Drosophila melanogaster: one gene and its partners. The protein of the gene in region 2 interacts with the protein of the main gene of each other region in a pairwise test. Each region holds a gene or a part of one and is shown on either strand. Other genes may lie near its edges.

The links.
Region 1: the proteins of CG42853 (region 2) and Syx5 interact in a two-hybrid assay, tested with the Drosophila melanogaster proteins (one large-scale study listed by BioGRID).
Region 3: the proteins of CG42853 (region 2) and CG5104 interact in a two-hybrid assay, tested with the Drosophila melanogaster proteins (one large-scale study listed by BioGRID).
Region 4: the proteins of CG42853 (region 2) and CG34230 interact in a two-hybrid assay, tested with the Drosophila melanogaster proteins (one large-scale study listed by BioGRID).

The regions. Positions count from the first base shown.
Region 1 is NT_033779.5:16,305,340-16,309,871, forward strand, and holds Syx5 (syntaxin 5), read left to right. Parts: upstream 1-2,006; 5' UTR 2,007-2,320; coding exon 2,321-2,990; intron 2,991-3,058; coding exon 3,059-3,792; 3' UTR 3,793-3,935; downstream 3,936-4,532. Other genes in the region: c(2)M (crossover suppressor on 2 of manheim), read left to right, coding at 16-140; CG5861 (uncharacterized protein), read right to left, coding at 620-981, 1,176-1,284, 1,355-1,493, 1,602-1,675. UniProt on the Drosophila melanogaster protein: Mediates endoplasmic reticulum to Golgi transport.
Region 2 is NT_037436.4:18,120,223-18,124,022, forward strand, and holds CG42853 (uncharacterized protein), read right to left. Parts: upstream 1,768-3,800; 5' UTR 1,706-1,767; coding exon 1,213-1,705; intron 1,156-1,212; coding exon 794-1,155; 3' UTR 710-793; downstream 1-709. Other genes in the region: CG7341 (uncharacterized protein), read left to right, coding at 1-668.
Region 3 is NT_037436.4:20,519,121-20,523,166, forward strand, and holds CG5104 (uncharacterized protein), read left to right. Parts: upstream 1-1,888; 5' UTR 1,889-2,035; coding exon 2,036-2,107; intron 2,108-2,294; coding exon 2,295-2,464; intron 2,465-2,539; coding exon 2,540-2,657; intron 2,658-3,034; coding exon 3,035-3,166; 3' UTR 3,167-3,314; downstream 3,315-4,046. Other genes in the region: mTerf3 (mitochondrial transcription termination factor 3), read right to left, coding at 497-774, 834-1,620; Pss (phosphatidylserine synthase), read right to left, coding at 3,524-3,561.
Region 4 is NT_033778.4:11,859,175-11,862,533, reverse strand, and holds CG34230 (uncharacterized protein), read right to left. Parts: upstream 1,225-3,359; 5' UTR 1,178-1,224; coding exon 1,069-1,177; intron 1,019-1,068; coding exon 933-1,018; intron 879-932; coding exon 746-878; intron 690-745; coding exon 628-689; 3' UTR 519-627; downstream 1-518. Other genes in the region: Mgtor (megator), read right to left, coding at 1,932-2,219, 2,471-2,604, 2,663-2,994, 3,051-3,359.

The DNA of each region.
Region 1 (4,532 bases), on a different chromosome or scaffold from region 2:
TAGCTTAAATTTCAGATCTTGTTCGAGACCATTTTATAGAGATATCAAAGCGAGCTAATTCGCTGGAAATGTACCAAATTACTCTTGGCAAAGAGTCCGCTAAGCTAATAGACAATCTTATGCTGAGTGAGACTCTGTGAATATTTTTAGATAATTTTTTTCAAGATTACCAAACAACTTTGTAGTTGACAATCTTCCACATTTTTGTTGTTGTTTTGTTTTCTGTTATTGCTATTGTGTTATAACATATAAGTTGAGCCAATCTCTAACCTAGATGGCTTTAATCTACTCTTTTTCCATACAATCTTATGGTACAATTGAGCAACGATGTCCTGGATAATTCGTTTCATTTCAAGAATTGAAAAATTCTATAGATGTTACTTGTTGCTGTCTATAAAAATAGTTTTTTTTTCATTATCATATTAGTTTCGTGTACCCATTAAAAGTTGTTTGTTATCTTTGTTACTATTACGTTATCGTAGCTATAATTCATTAACATTTGGAGTAATTCTCTAAACCGTAATTGTTGTCTTTGTTACAAAATCTCAATTTCTCTGACAACACCAAAAAATAAACAAGTTACAAAAACAAAGGAATACAGAGTGTTTGGCACAATTGCTTAAATTCCGATCTGCTGGGCCAGACCCGAATAGATGTGCAGCGTGCAGAATCCAATGACGGCCGCCACCAGCGCTTTAACAGCCACCGTTAGCCAAGGTCCAATGGTCAGAATGTGGAGCATGCCCTCCAGCCAGACGCCTTTGAAGACAGTCACCGCCAGAAGTAGACTAACCAGCGGCTTTAATGCCTTGTTCAAATCGTGACGGGTGAAGAGCCAGATCAGGGTGGCCGTAGTGATGTGCTGCACCAGAAGCACGTTCGATTCCAGACACTTGAGGATGTAGATCCAACTGAACTCGGTGCCTCGGGCACCCACCCACAGCATGATACCTCGGGAAAGAATCACTTCGGCGGTGGCCCCTGCGGAAGTATACGAAAATATTTAGTTTTTACTAAATTTTTGGAAGTTGTCATACATATATGGGTTGGGGTATTAAAGGTTGAGTAGGCATTGGCTCTTGTAACATTAATATATCTGAACAGAGTACTTTTCAATCTTTAAAAGCCACCCTCATCATTAATTAAGTTTAAATAAGTTGGTTCGTTCAACCTACATCCAAGTCCAGCCGTTATGAGCTTTGAGTGGCCCTTGCCGGGTATGCGACTCAAGATTAGGGCGAATCCAAGCAGATCGGCGATGTCCATGCTGCAGCGAAGAATCTCCTGCAGACCAAAGAAACCACAACATGACCTCAATAATTGGGTGAAGGTAAACAAAGATAAGCACACGTACCGCAAAGAAGTTGAACTCGCCGCTGGAGGATGGAGCGTCCGAGTAGAAGAATGTGGCCAGCACCAGCATCTTGACGAGCTGTGTGAATATATAAATGCCTCCCGCCTGCACGCACTTCCAGAAGGCTCCATATTCTGATCTGTGATTAAATAATAAGCCGGGAAAGTTCACAAATAGTTTTTTATTGACCTGGTAGAGCTGCGGACTTGGCAGTCGGCAAATCACCAGTAACCAGAAGTAAACTCACAGGCCGGAGTATTTATAGGTGAAGTAGTACGGCGTCAGCAGGGCCACACAATTTCCAAAGTGATACAGTGTCATTTTCTTTGATAAATTATGGCTATTTTATTTTGGCTTAATTAAGAGAAGAATTAAAAGTTGAAAAGAAAAAAACTAGCGTTGCTTGCCGTGGGTTATCGATATGTGCTTAACAGGGCTGACGGCATGTCAGGCAGACTATAAAAAACAAGCTAGTTTTGCAGACAATATTTTACAATAAATATTTTAATAATAACTATTATAAATAAATATTTTGAAATATTGGAAAACGTGTGTCTTTCCGAACGAAAAGAAGTAGCAACTGTTTTAATCTGTTTCGTGCCTATCGATAGTTGCTTAAATATCAACACGTCATCGTAATCTATCATCTGGAGGTGTGTTCGTGTGTGTGAGAAGAGTGTGTGTGTGTGCGTTTGAGTGAGTTTTCTGCAACCTTTAGCAATTATTATGAATTTTTTGACAAAACCATTGGGAAATACTTGAACGGAGACCAAATTTTACTTTGTTTAGGACACACAAACCTGCCAGCTAAGTGACGAGCCAAACATCAAACGGTAAACCAGTGCATTAAAGGAGAAAAACAAAGGGGAAATTTTCGCAAAGAAAAGTCCAACAGATCATTTCGTTCGTGTGCATATGAAAAACAGCAACGTCAACTCCCTGGTAAAAGCTGCAATCTGAAATGAGATGCAAACCCGAAGACGCCTTCATCAAACAGACCAGCAGGATTACAGCAGTAGCAGTACCTATACCATTCAAGAGGATCAACAGGGAGGAGCAGGCGCAGGATCTGTGGGCACGGGAACAGCTGGCGGATCGGTAGGACTATTAGCACAGTCCCTGGTTCCACCACCAACTGGTCACGAGGCGGCCATCCACATTGGAGACAACTACCAGTCGGGCGATTCCATTTCCACTCCCGATTACTCCGACGACAAGTACGGCAAGGCGGCCCGCCAGTGGAACCTACGCGCCTTCTCGGGCCACGCACTGCGCACTTTAAGTGCCGCTGCCGCCGTGGTCACCGGCAATCAACCGGGCATCAATAACGATAGCCAAAGCAACTATAGCTACCCCGCTTCCATTCCGACTAGTTCACAGTTTTACCAATCGAAGGAGGAGCCGCAGGAAACGGAACCCGAACCAGAAATATTCGTCATGGCCGCACGCGATCGAACGGGCGAGTTCGCCAATGCGATTCGTTCCCTGCAGGCTCGAAATATCACCCGGGCAGTGAATATACGCGATCCCCGCAAAGCTAAGCAGGTTCAGAGCTACTCGGAGTTCATGATGGTCGCCAGGTTTATTGGCAAGAACATAGCCAGCACCTACGCAAAACTGGAGAAGCTCACAATGTGTAAGTACATGTTTTAGTAACCCCTTAAAGTCATATTCAAAACTTTAAAATTCCCATCTTCGTTTTAGTGGCCAAAAAGAAGAGCTTATTTGATGACAGACCGCAGGAGATTCAGGAGCTGACCTATATCATCAAAGGCGACCTAAATGCCTTAAATCAACAAATTGCCCGACTGCAGGACATCTCCAAGGATCAGCGGCGTCACACAAACGGCAAGCATTTGGTGTCACATTCCTCTAACATGGTACTGGCCCTGCAATCGAAACTGGCCAGCATGAGCACGGACTTCAAGCAAATCCTGGAGGTGCGCACGGAGAACCTCAAGCAGCAGAAGACGCGACGTGATCAGTTTAGCCAGGGACCAGGTCCGTTGGCCGCGCACACCGTCTCCCCCTCGACAGCCAAGCAGGGATCTTTGCTTCTCAGCGAGGAAAACCAAGCGGTCAGCATAGATATGGGGAGCAGCGATACCACACCACTCCTATCAACCCAGACACAGATGGCCATCTACGATGATTCCGATAATTACGTCCAGCAGCGGGCGGAGACCATGCAAAATATAGAATCTACCATCGTTGAGCTCGGCGGAATATTCCAGCAGCTGGCACATATGGTTAAGGAGCAGGAAGAGATCGTGGAGCGTATTGACACGAATGTGGCGGATGCGGAATTGAATATTGAGGCTGCCCATGGGGAGATCTTGAAATACTTTCAATCCGTCTCCAAAAATCGCTGGCTGATGATCAAAATCTTCGGCGTTCTCATATTCTTCTTCTTGTTCTTCGTTGTTTTTATGTCGTAATCAAACGCCAGTTGCCCATTAAAAGCCCCATGTACCTATCCATGTATACAGCTTTTTATTTTAATCAAGATTCAATCACAATATTGTTTATTCCAAGCTGTGGCCTCCCGAAACGATTGTAAAATAAAGTTATAAATACGTTCTAAAGCAAAATACATTTATTTTAGCATGTGGTTCTTTGGTGAATTTTTCCATTCTAATGGAAGCTCTAAAATTAAATATAATTTCCAAAATATAAAGCCGAATGATAAATATGTTTGCTGATGTAAGAAACTTGTATATTACCTTAGAAAACGTGTAATGCAAGTATCAAATTGGAGAGAGACTATATCTATGTTTGCCCTGCTGATAAGGTTTAAGTGCCCTTTCATAATCTTTATTATCTTAAGTGCTCGTTGCTCCATGTTCGTCGTGTTTAGCCAAAAATTCCGCTGTCCCTCATGCTAAACAGAAAAATGAAAATTGGTTACATTGATTTGACTTTTATTTAATGCTTAAAATCCAACTACACCAAAGATGCGATATGCAAAAAATAATCAAAATAAAAACATGTTACAATCTCTTACTGCAGAAAAGTATTACAAATTGTATGAAAAAAACAAAGCTTCAAGATGTCTTTATGGATTTACACTAGAATTTACAAGTGAAGTATTGTTCGCGGTTGATGGGGACTCTTCCCCAAAAAAGGAAGTCCTCTACCCGAGTTTAGACAACTAATACACGACGCTGATGCGTTGGCG
Region 2 (3,800 bases):
CTGTCTTCAACTCTTGGATCGCCCAGGGAACCGAGCAGCTGTATCTGAATCTGTCCTCTGTAAATTTGCCGTTTGATCATATTGATTTTGATGAGATGGCACATTTCATCGAGGATCTCGGAGCAAGAAATGACCAGAGTATGGTGCACCTGAAAGTGCCAAAATTTGGCTACGAGGAAATGTTATGGAGATTGGCACACACAAGTCTTCGCGGGCATATTCATTTGGGCGACCACATTGCAAAAAGCTATGAGTGCCTTAGCATCGATCTGGAGCGTTTTCTGGAGGAAAATTATGTACCAAGGGTTTTCGTCAGCGGTTGCCCGACGGACTTTAATCACTATCAAAAGGTAGTTTCCTTGGATCTAAAGGAACTAAAGTGGACACCGACTCCGACCAGGATGCATCTTCGGCAGCTATGCAGCCTCTTGCGACCTCAACACATCCAGGGGATTGTTCAGTTTCATACGGATGGCATTGTGCCTCCCATTCCGTCATTCCTAAAGATCTTCAAGGCAAACTATTCACCGCAGAGTGGTGCAGTGGTCTCAAGGATTAGGAGTGAATTTCAAGCAGGACAGCCGAAGCAAGGACCCTATCACGCTTTCCGGTCCAGAAGGGCCTTTGAATTTGTGAACGATGGCGACGAAAGCAGTAGTTCGAATTAGGTTAAAGTATCTCCCTATTAGAATAAGCAAGTCGTGTAGCTGTTGTTCCGCACAGTGCCCCTAGGAGTTTTATTTATCCAAACGCTTCACAATATATAAAAATAAATTATTTGAATTGTCTTGAATTAATTTTTTTGATCAGTAAGTGTATCTTCGTCGGACCAGGAATCGGCAAGTCGCTCAAAAGCATCAATGTCTATTTCCTCCTTTACTTTAAAGGCTTTAAGATCATCAGCCGCATTCTGGGATTCCTTGGTAATATCACAGCCGAGTGAGAGATCCATCCCTTCTGGTTGCTTTTCAATTAGCTTTATGGTGTCCTCGTTGCACTCTTTTAAGGATTCCATGTCCAATGCATTCTGGGTTTCGGTCGAAGCGTTTACTTTGGTAATTTGATATTGTTTATTAAATTTAGGAAGTTGTACAATATTTGATGAACGTCTATTCATCTCACACATTTTGGGAATTGTGAAGAGTAGAAACAGCCCTGATATTTGAATGAATTTTGTTATTTTCTTTCATTATTTATTAATGATAGACTTACCTAATTGGCCAACAATTAGAAAGTTAATCTGCTTTCCAAGTTTGCTAATTATTAGGAGAAGGCCAAACCACTTGAATGATTTCGAAAAGCTCTTTACTAGTAATATCTCTCGTAGATTATTTAGAAACGCAACAACTTTGGTTGAAACTAGAACACCCAGTTGCTTAGATAACTCCTGGGAGATTCTTAGGTCTATGTCAAGATATTTCGGATAGCTGTTGTTCTGGATATGGGTATTAGTGTACTGTACCAAAAAACGGTACCCCATTGATATGACCATGATAATCAAAGCCCATACGCTCACCACGAACACAAGCGGTTCAGAAAGCAGATCATAAATTATGGTCTGTAGCATTACGAATACAAGCATCGACTTTATCCAGTTGCGCCACAGGATCAGCTCAGTTATTCCCTCCCAGATGCAGATGAGTTTAGCTTCGTTTACCTCCGCACCGGCTCCAGAAACTTGAACAGAGTTCGCGCTTGTGGCCATATTTTTTTTTTTTTTGAGTTTTTAAGACCTTTAGTACTGAGAAGATATACAAATTACAAAAACTTGGATACGATTGCAACGACAGTAAACTATTCGAATACTAGATTATATTTGTTTTCTATACCCATCACGCGTAGAGTACTAGATTTGTTGAAAGGTTTACCTTTCAGATGGATTCTTTATATTCTTGATCAGGATTGATGGGCTAGTCTATATGTATGTACAATATATACTTATGGCTGTGTCAGTCTGTCCGTCCGTATAAACGTCGAGAGTCTGTGAACTATTAAAGCTGAAAAGTTTAAATTAAGCATGCAGCTTGTTTCACATCCACACATTATTAAATTATAATGTGGAAATTATTGAAATTACCACCACTAACTGAGTAGCTGCCAGTTGAGGAGCTCGTATATAAATATATATATTTATATACATCTATATGCTATATAATACGAGATGCATGTCAAGTACCACCGATACAAGAAAGATCCCAACATTTAACCGCCAAAAGCACCTGTTGCCAATTCGTGTCATCTGTTTAAAAATATCCTTTTACATGAATTATGCAAATTATTCATAAATTGCTTTGTCTTTGCTTGGGGTTGTAAATGGGTTTTCGCAGATACATAATTTGATTGAGTTTGAGCTATCCTTTCTATCGCAAGATATTTAACTTCATATTCTATTTCTGTAATCGGTGATAATAAATTCATTTTAGCTTCTGCTTTTGTACCTATTTCTCTAACCATAGGCAATTTATGTTTTTGAAAATTAAGAATTACTGGTCGTATATTTTCTACTTGATCCCTTACTTGAACGATTGTTAAGTCAAACAGAACGCTTTTCAAGATCTCTTTGTCACAGCTTCGTTCGCGTTTGATCCGCACCGTCAACAAGGTCTTTTATTCCAATTCTTGGAGCATCCTGGGCAAATAATTTTGGCACGAGGTGTGACCAACGCCCATTGAGGGTGTGGTTAATGACACTCAGCCTTCTGTCTGCCAAGTCAATCGCTTGCCAATTGATTTGTCAAAGGCATTACGCTAATATTTTGGGCAAATACGGGAAAAAGTCACTGGCGTCAAAATGACATCGAGTGGTTTAACTTTCCACCCTCAAGATTCAGAAAATAAATGACTTTTGGGGAGGGTAGAGAAAAGAATACTAAAATCGGAATAATTTAAATCAATCGTTCAAAAGCTTTTGATCGCTCGCAATTGCTAAAGGGTCCACTTAATAACAGTAGTATATGTTATATATAAAAAACTTTAAAAGAAAATAGTAGATTCAACAAAATATGATGAATATAAAATGAAAACCTTTCAGTTTGTCGTAAAACAAATATTTCCAATATATTAATCCTGTTTAACAGTCCAACTATTCCCATTTGTAATAGACATTTGTTCATCACCCATTTGAGATTACTTGAGAAATCCTCGTAATTTCTGCCGTCTTCATTTAGAATTACTGGAATTAATATGCAAACAGCAAAATCGATGTATTTGCACATGTATGAATGCAGTTTAATTAAACCAAATTCCCCCATAATGCTCACATCACAAGCTGTACAGGATATTAGAATGTTTGACAAGTTGTCAATGCATCAAGATGCAGAGGACAAGGCAGAAAATTGGCCAGAAAATCTTATCGTTCATTTTGAATGTAAATTAAAACAAATACACATAAAATTACTTAAAACTGCATTGAGTTTCTTTGGCTCCTGTCACAAAATGATGGCCATTTCCATGCAAATGCCTAAAATGTAAAAGGTCGCTAGGGCACGGCACTTTATTTACTTTATATACTTTATTTTTAGATTTTTTAAATATATAAATATTATAGCCAACATATTTATCACACCGTTTTGTGCTCTTTTTATAAGATTCTCCAATTGTTTTTTTAAAAGGTCAAGAAAGGGGAATAGTAAATTGGTTCACAGATGTGACCAGACCAGATTTCTTAGGGTAGTGTCATAAGGGACATAAGACAAGGTCAACGTCTAAAAACCACCTGAAAATCTCAGCAAATATTCTTCTTTCGGCCCGATAAAGTTGTCATACGAGTTCGGCTCCTTCGACGCATTCCCTTCGACTTC
Region 3 (4,046 bases), 2.4 Mb from region 2:
GAGTTTGACCAAGTTTTTTTTGGCCCTTCCGTATGTCTGCCTGTGTTTGTGTATTCGCTTTTGCTGTTTATGTATGCGTAGGAAAATGCGTTTTACTTTTCGTTTGGCGCTGTTTCTCCGCCGCTGCACTCGATTTGACTATAACTACTGGTTTCGGACTGAAGCCAACCGCTGGAGCTCCGAAATATTGCAACTTTGTTTAATGCTTCTCCCGAAGCGACTGTCTTGTAACTAAAATTAAACACGATTCGTTTCTACGCACAAGCTTAATGCGTAGTTTAAATCTTTTGTTGCTGTCCAGTGTGACCAGATGGAGAAACGGTAGCAATCCAGGTGCGTGTCTATGTTTTCCTACATCTGGCATCCCTTGTATCAAGTAAATTTATTGGTGGTTATTTTTAAAATGATAAAACTTGGTTTCTGTTGACTTTTGAAAATATATGCATATGCATATATGAATATGAAAAGTATATATACATTTACTTTTATTTTATTCTTATCTCGTTTTCAAAAACAAATCAAATGTTTCCAAATCACTTTTAGCCACATTTCGGACGAAATAAAAGTTATTGCCTTCCACTATAGTTTTTGGCGATATATACAGGTCTTTTTGCGGATCATATTGCGCTCTTCCAAGCAATTTCAGGAACTCATGACGTTCCCGCAGTCTAAATTCGCGTGAGGCCAAAAGCTCCGGGCACTGGACAATCTGGGCATGTGGAAGGCCCATATCCTGGTGAATGTAACTAAATCGCTCGACAAGATCATCCGGAGCTGCAAGGATAAGTTGTTTAATTACAAATGTCCTTAATTTTGAATGTAGATAGACTTACGAATCATCAAGAGGCGCGGCTTTCGTACCACCAGGTCACTTAGCTCCTTGGCATTGAATCCCATTTCCTCCTTAAGGGTGAACACAGACTTGCGGAGGTGTTCCATATTGTAGGTAATGGCATTGGGTTCTCTGGTGGCCAACAGTCGCAGATCATGACCACTCAATTTGAACTCCTTTTGGAAGTAACCCAATCGACGATCCACTCGCCTGGTGGAGAACATCAGCCAATAAGGATTCTGGGTGAGAATTCTTTGCCTGGCTTCGTCCGAGAATCTCTTGCTTTTTAGATAGTTCACTCTGGTCTGCAGATCGTCCAAGTCCTCCTTGAACAGCAGCGGGTTCTTGGTGAACATCCTGCCGAAGTCATCGGGTGATACGCCCTGATCCACCAGGAACGTTATGTAGGGCTTCACATTTTTCTCGAAATCCAGCTTCAGTACAAAGTCTCCCAATCCCTTTCGCCGTTCAATACTGTGCAGATCCACTCCCAAGCTGAGAAATTGCTGCAGGGTACTCGAGTTGTTCACATAGGCCGCCAAATTGAAGGAAGGCACATGGGCCTCCCGATTTCGGAAGTCCAGAGCCACTTCTTTGGAGCCTTCACATTCCGCAGGCTCGGTCTTCTTGTCATTCTGTTTGGTGGTTATACCCGGTGATGTTAACACTTCTACCTCATGGTGGACACTTTGTTGTCCTCGCAGATTTCGTATTTGTGAGGTAATTGTTGCGTTTTTAGCCGCATTTTGTGAATTCCTCAAAATGTTACGTAGAGCTGAACAAAACATGCTGGAGGCGTTGCCAGATGTCGCGAATGTGACCAGCAGTTGGCTGCCAAAGTTTCTAAATATGGCATGCTAGCTAGAAAAAGCTAAAATTATATTTTGAATATGATTTTGATATAAAAACATATTTGTTTTTAAATGGATATTCTTGAACAAAAATGCACTACTAATATCTGATTTCTTTAGTTTTTTTATGAAGATATATATAAAATTGCAAATTGTTGGTATAATTTTTAATCGGACGGTATATGTTAACGGTTACCACCACGGTCACACTAGGTATGATCTTGGATTTATTTTGGTGTGAAAATTCCGGAGCATAAAAACAGAAGAGACCCTTGTATGTGCAAAACCCCCCGAGAGGAGTGCCGGTAATTCCAAGTCAGCCACCTGTTGAACATTATTCAATCGCCGCATAATGGACAAGTTGCGCCGCGTTCTGAGTGGAGATGAGCCCACTCCGGAGGAGGAGAGCAGTATCATTACGCAGGTGAAGAAATTTTCTAATGGTACAGATCTCATTAGATCCCTTAACATATTCTGGCTGGAGGAATTATGATTATGGCGTGGCTTAGGAGCTAGCCGCTGGCAACGCCCCGCGATCACATGGCGCCCCAAGCCGTGTGACCCAACGCTTATCAAAGTATTTAGTTAATATCAATCAATTACATACGCAGATCAACGACATGTCCACTTTGAGCTGGTCCACTCGGATCAAGGGATTCGTCATCTGCTTTGCCTTGGGCATCTTACTTTCCCTACTCGGCTCGGTCGCCCTATTTCTGCACAGGGGCATTGTGGTCTTTGCGGTCTTCTACACTCTAGGAAACGTCATCTCGATGGCCAGGTGAGCGAGTTGCTGGTTCCGTTCCACTCGTACTTCACACAAGCCGGCTAATGAGTCTCTCTTCTCCGGTTTCAGTACCTGCTTTCTCATGGGTCCCTTCAAGCAGATCAAGAAAATGTTTGCGGAAACACGGCTGATCGCCACCATCATCGTGCTCGTCATGATGGTCCTGACGTTCATCGCTGCTATTGTGGTAAGGCGTCCATGCTCAAATCGAAGATATCACAATTATTTAGGGTTCGGTCGTTAACTTTTATAATCAAGTTAGTTTTATAGCGATAGCATGACGAATTTGTTTGCAGGTTTTGTAGAAAACTTTTCCTTAATGTTTAGACTTTAAAGTTATCCAATGAAATAGCGATCCAAATCTTATACATACTTCATGAACTCACAGTAAAGTTAAATGAAAGCTTTTAGCATTTTACTTTTAATATTAATAACACAGTTTCACATGCCCTAGCAATTAAATTCTGAATATTGGTTTAATTCTTATTACTTGAACAAAAAAACAGTACGATGCAATCGATGTGTGCACTTAATATGTTATTATTTTTATTTGATTGGCTTTAGTGGAAAAAGGCGGGACTCACGCTTATATTCATTATCATACAATCTCTGGCCATGACCTGGTACTCGCTGTCGTACATCCCCTACGCCCGCGATGCGGTCAAGAAGACCATGTCGGCAATTCTGGAGGTCTAGAATCAGATGCGCTTCTGTACATAGCTCGAGAAAAGCCAGATTGGTTTGTAGCTTAAGCTAAGACAATTAAATCTTTTGTATTGTATTAACCTAGCACTAGAACATAGAATGTCCTTTATATTCTCTTATTAACAAGTACAATAATTCCATTTTGTCTTTTTAATAAATATATATATATATATATATATATCTTTTATACATATATATATATATATTTACATGTTATGTATTTAATTTAATCAGTACAGTTTTCTTTAGTTTATGTACATAATTCTCTTCTCTGTTTTGGTTTTTAATTTAAAGAATGGCCCGATCCACTTTGTTTCTGCAGCTTTAAAGTTTATTTATATCAACTTCTTATTTTAGTTTCTTCTCTTTTTGCGGCGACAATTTACCTAGAAAAGTGAAATGAAAAATTGTAGATCAAAAGTAGCAGATATAAAAGTTAACAATAACTGGTTAGACTATTTTAATTTTAATATCGTAGTGCATGATGTTGGGTGCATCAATGGAATTACTCCTTGGCAATTGTGCTTTTTTGTGGCAATGCAATCCGCGGAGAATCGGAGAAGGAGAAAGAGACAGAGAAGGGGAGAAACGCAAGGAGAATTTAAATTGAGAGCAAATTGAGTTGATAAAACATTGTGGTTAACCATAAATTGAGCCAATAATAAAGAAAGTCAGCGGGCGCAAAAAAGAAAGTTAGTCGTAAGGCAGGCAACATTAAAGGGACTGAAATGATCGAAATTTGCTATGCCACAATTAAGCACAATAGTTATCCTATTTTACGGAGTTATCCAAATTATCCACCATAGACATGAACAGACGTTTTGAACAACCCTACACAATTCAAAGATAATTGTTCATATTTTAACCCATT
Region 4 (3,359 bases), on a different chromosome or scaffold from region 2:
ATCAGCCGGATCTTAAAGTCCTTGGGATATTGATGAAAAAATTATTATAGCGGTTACAGTATTTCATATTACTACCTTGAAGTCATGAGCGCTCCATTCGTTGCGGATCCAGAAATCTTGAGATACGATCATCAATCAGTGCATCTTAACAAAGGCACTCGATATTTTTTTTATTTACCAGGAGCACGCATTGAATACAAATGAGGTTACTGCGCAAGTTATTGGGTACCGATAATTGGGAAAGCAATAATTTATATTGCTCAATTATGCATTACTCGTTATTAACGTCGAATACAATATTCAACTTTCAATTTGTTTATTTGGTTACTTAGGTCAAGATTGCAAAAGCGCATTGAACAATGGATTACAACATGGATTTCCCTTAAAATTGTTAAAAATGTATGTAAAGCGTTAAAAATATTTATCATTATTGCAAGATGTTGCAGAAAAAGAAAGTAAAAATTGACCGGAAATTGAAGATATTATGGTTAGATAATTTCCAAATATACTATATGTTTGCCAAAAAAGGTTATAAATTACTTTATTTTATATCCAAAATGATAGAACATTGAAAGAATAAATTTTATAAGGACCAATATTTAACAATATACTGTAAAATTTACAAGCTCACGCGTCCTTTAAGCGATCATAATAGGAGTAGACCACCAGCCAAAAGTACAAGCCTAGAACTGGAAAAGGATTTGGCCAAGTTGAACATTGTGCCGAAATATTGAATGCAACTTACGGGATTGAAGAATATCGAAAACTAGATATTCATTCATGATGCCCTCTGTGGCTACAAACACGCCCTCGGCAACTAAAATGAAGAACCGCAGGCAGGAAACTGAGAGGTAAGGCAACAGAAAATATCTCAGGCCCTGTAATTAGACAGCTTTATATTGTCCACCAACCAAAATATTACGGATCCCTACCAGAACTGCTCCCAGCAGTAGAAAAATGCAGCAGATAACGTAGATACCGCTCACCACAAGGGAAAAAAGTCCCAGCAGGCTGTCACCTAAGAAAGCCAGTTATATCTTAGCTATTCCTATGCTCAGGACCACTCACGATCAACAAAGAAGCGATCTAGTCCACGTATTAGCACCTCAACGATGGCTATCAGGATGCTTCCGCACTTCAGATCCACGCAGCAACAGCAATTGTCCGAGTAGATCATTTTCGTTTCTTTTTGGGGGGTTTCTAAGCCAATTTCGGATACGAACTGCCTGGCCAACTGACTTACAATAGCAGGTAATTATGATGAAGTCTTTAATTCGGAGCACGTTTCATGTTCCAATGCTTGCTGCATAATTAATCGGCTTGCGTAGCTTAGACCAATTAAGGTCAATGCCACCAAAGTGCAGTGCAATCGGTGGTCTATATTTCACATTAGAACTAGTGCGATTTTAATCGAACACGTTATCAAACTAAATTAATTGATTTGTTTAAATACTGTAATATTATTATCTTTTACATTCATTTGAATATCAAAAACATTAGTGGAAATTCTTTAAAATACTTTAAAGTCTAAGAAATATGGTTTAAAGAGGGGAAAACTACATCTTAATGCGTTATAACACTACTAGAATGAGGCAACTTATTCAGGGAGTAAACCACTTTGTAGTGCTGGGGTAACAGCAGTTTGAAATCCTTGCCCAGAAAGGTGCATCAAATATCGACAAAATTACACATATATTTATTAAAAACTCTATAGCAAAGTTAATGTACAAGAACCAAAGCTCTTTGCATCTTGTCAACTGCAGAAACTCAGGACTCGCAAGCTGGAGAATGTAGAGTAATATGTATTTGTGGCTCATCCTAGCCTAAGCGCTTTTAAATGCGAGGAGACTTATTTCTAGCCCAGTAAACGCAATGATTTTATAGTCAGCCTACAGCGGACTTTCGTCTGCGGGTCCGCCGAACTCCTCGCCCTAGGGGAATCGTCCTCCGTTGTTGAAGTTGTTTGGAGGCGGACGACGAATGGGACGACGGTTGCGGGTCCGTTGCGCAAAGCGATTGTTATTGGCTGACATCTGGTTTTGCTGAATGTTTCCCGGCGACGTGTCCCGTTGCCAGACAATCCGCTGCGGACGGTTCTGGCTGTTGGGACTGCCACCCCTCATGGCGCGATGTCCTCGTCGGGTGGGCACCGCACTACGCAGCGTGCGAAATCGCGTGTTCTCCGACGGTGAAGTGGCCTCCGCCTCCCGACCCTCCTCCTAAAAAGAAATGGAGAGCAATCAATTTAGGATTCAGTTGGTGCAGATTGGTCTTGGTTTGGATTACAACAGAAACATTACATCCATTCTTCAGTATTTAATATTCCATGCACTCCATAAGTGGGGTGAACTACAAATCATATCCCATGGGGTTAATTACATTCAAAGCAACGTATTTCCATGCAGGGTCTCATCGGGACCAACCTGCTTTTCTCCACAGCTATCTTGCCACCAATGCAAGTACTACTTACCTCAACACCCACCGCCTGCTTTTCACCCTCGGAGGAGACGCCGTCGGCTCCCTCGCTGTCCTCGGTGGGGTTTCCCTCGCCAAGATTGGCTTGGTTGTGGGACACCTCCGATTGGCTAGTGCCCACATTTGGATCTGGATAAAATTGAGTGCTTAGTTTTCCAATCCATTTACACTATTTATTATAACATACTATCATTTCCTAGCGGCTGAGAGTCTTCTCCTTGGCCAGTAGCCATTGTCTCCTCGGCGAATGCCTCATCTGCTTCTCTGGCGTTATCTGTTCCGTCAGCATGATCACCACCATCGTCAGCAGCTTTAAGGGCGTCGCTTCCGCTGCTCTCCCCTGCCTCGCTCTGTTTTTGCGGAGAACTGGCCGAGGCAGCTCCCGTATCGCTGGGGCCTGCGCTTTCATGAGGCGCGCCTCCGGCCACCTCGGCGGTGCCATCGACTTCAGCGGACTCCAAGCGGGCAGGTTGCTCACAAAAATTCGAGACTTGAGGTGAACTTACAATCTCCACAGAGCTGTGTTTGATTTAATTCAATTAGTGAAGCTCATCGTAGACAAATCGTTAACCTACCTTTCGTTGCGTCGGGCGGCGGCTGTGGACGTTGAGGCAGCTGCCTGCTTCCAGTTGGAGGCCTCAGCCTGAGGTAGAGTCACCGGGTTCGATGACTCTCCACTGCCACTGGTGATGGCCTGACTCTGGTTGTTCTCCTGAGTGGAAGCGGATGCAGTTGCAATTGCCTGGTTGTCCAGCGATTGACTCTCTTCCTGAGCCTGCATGTGCTGCTCCGGCACTTCGATGTCCACCTCGTTGTTGTCCTGGGCATCCACAGCTATATCATTGTCATCGTCACCACCTTCGTTGTCATCCATCTCATTGTCC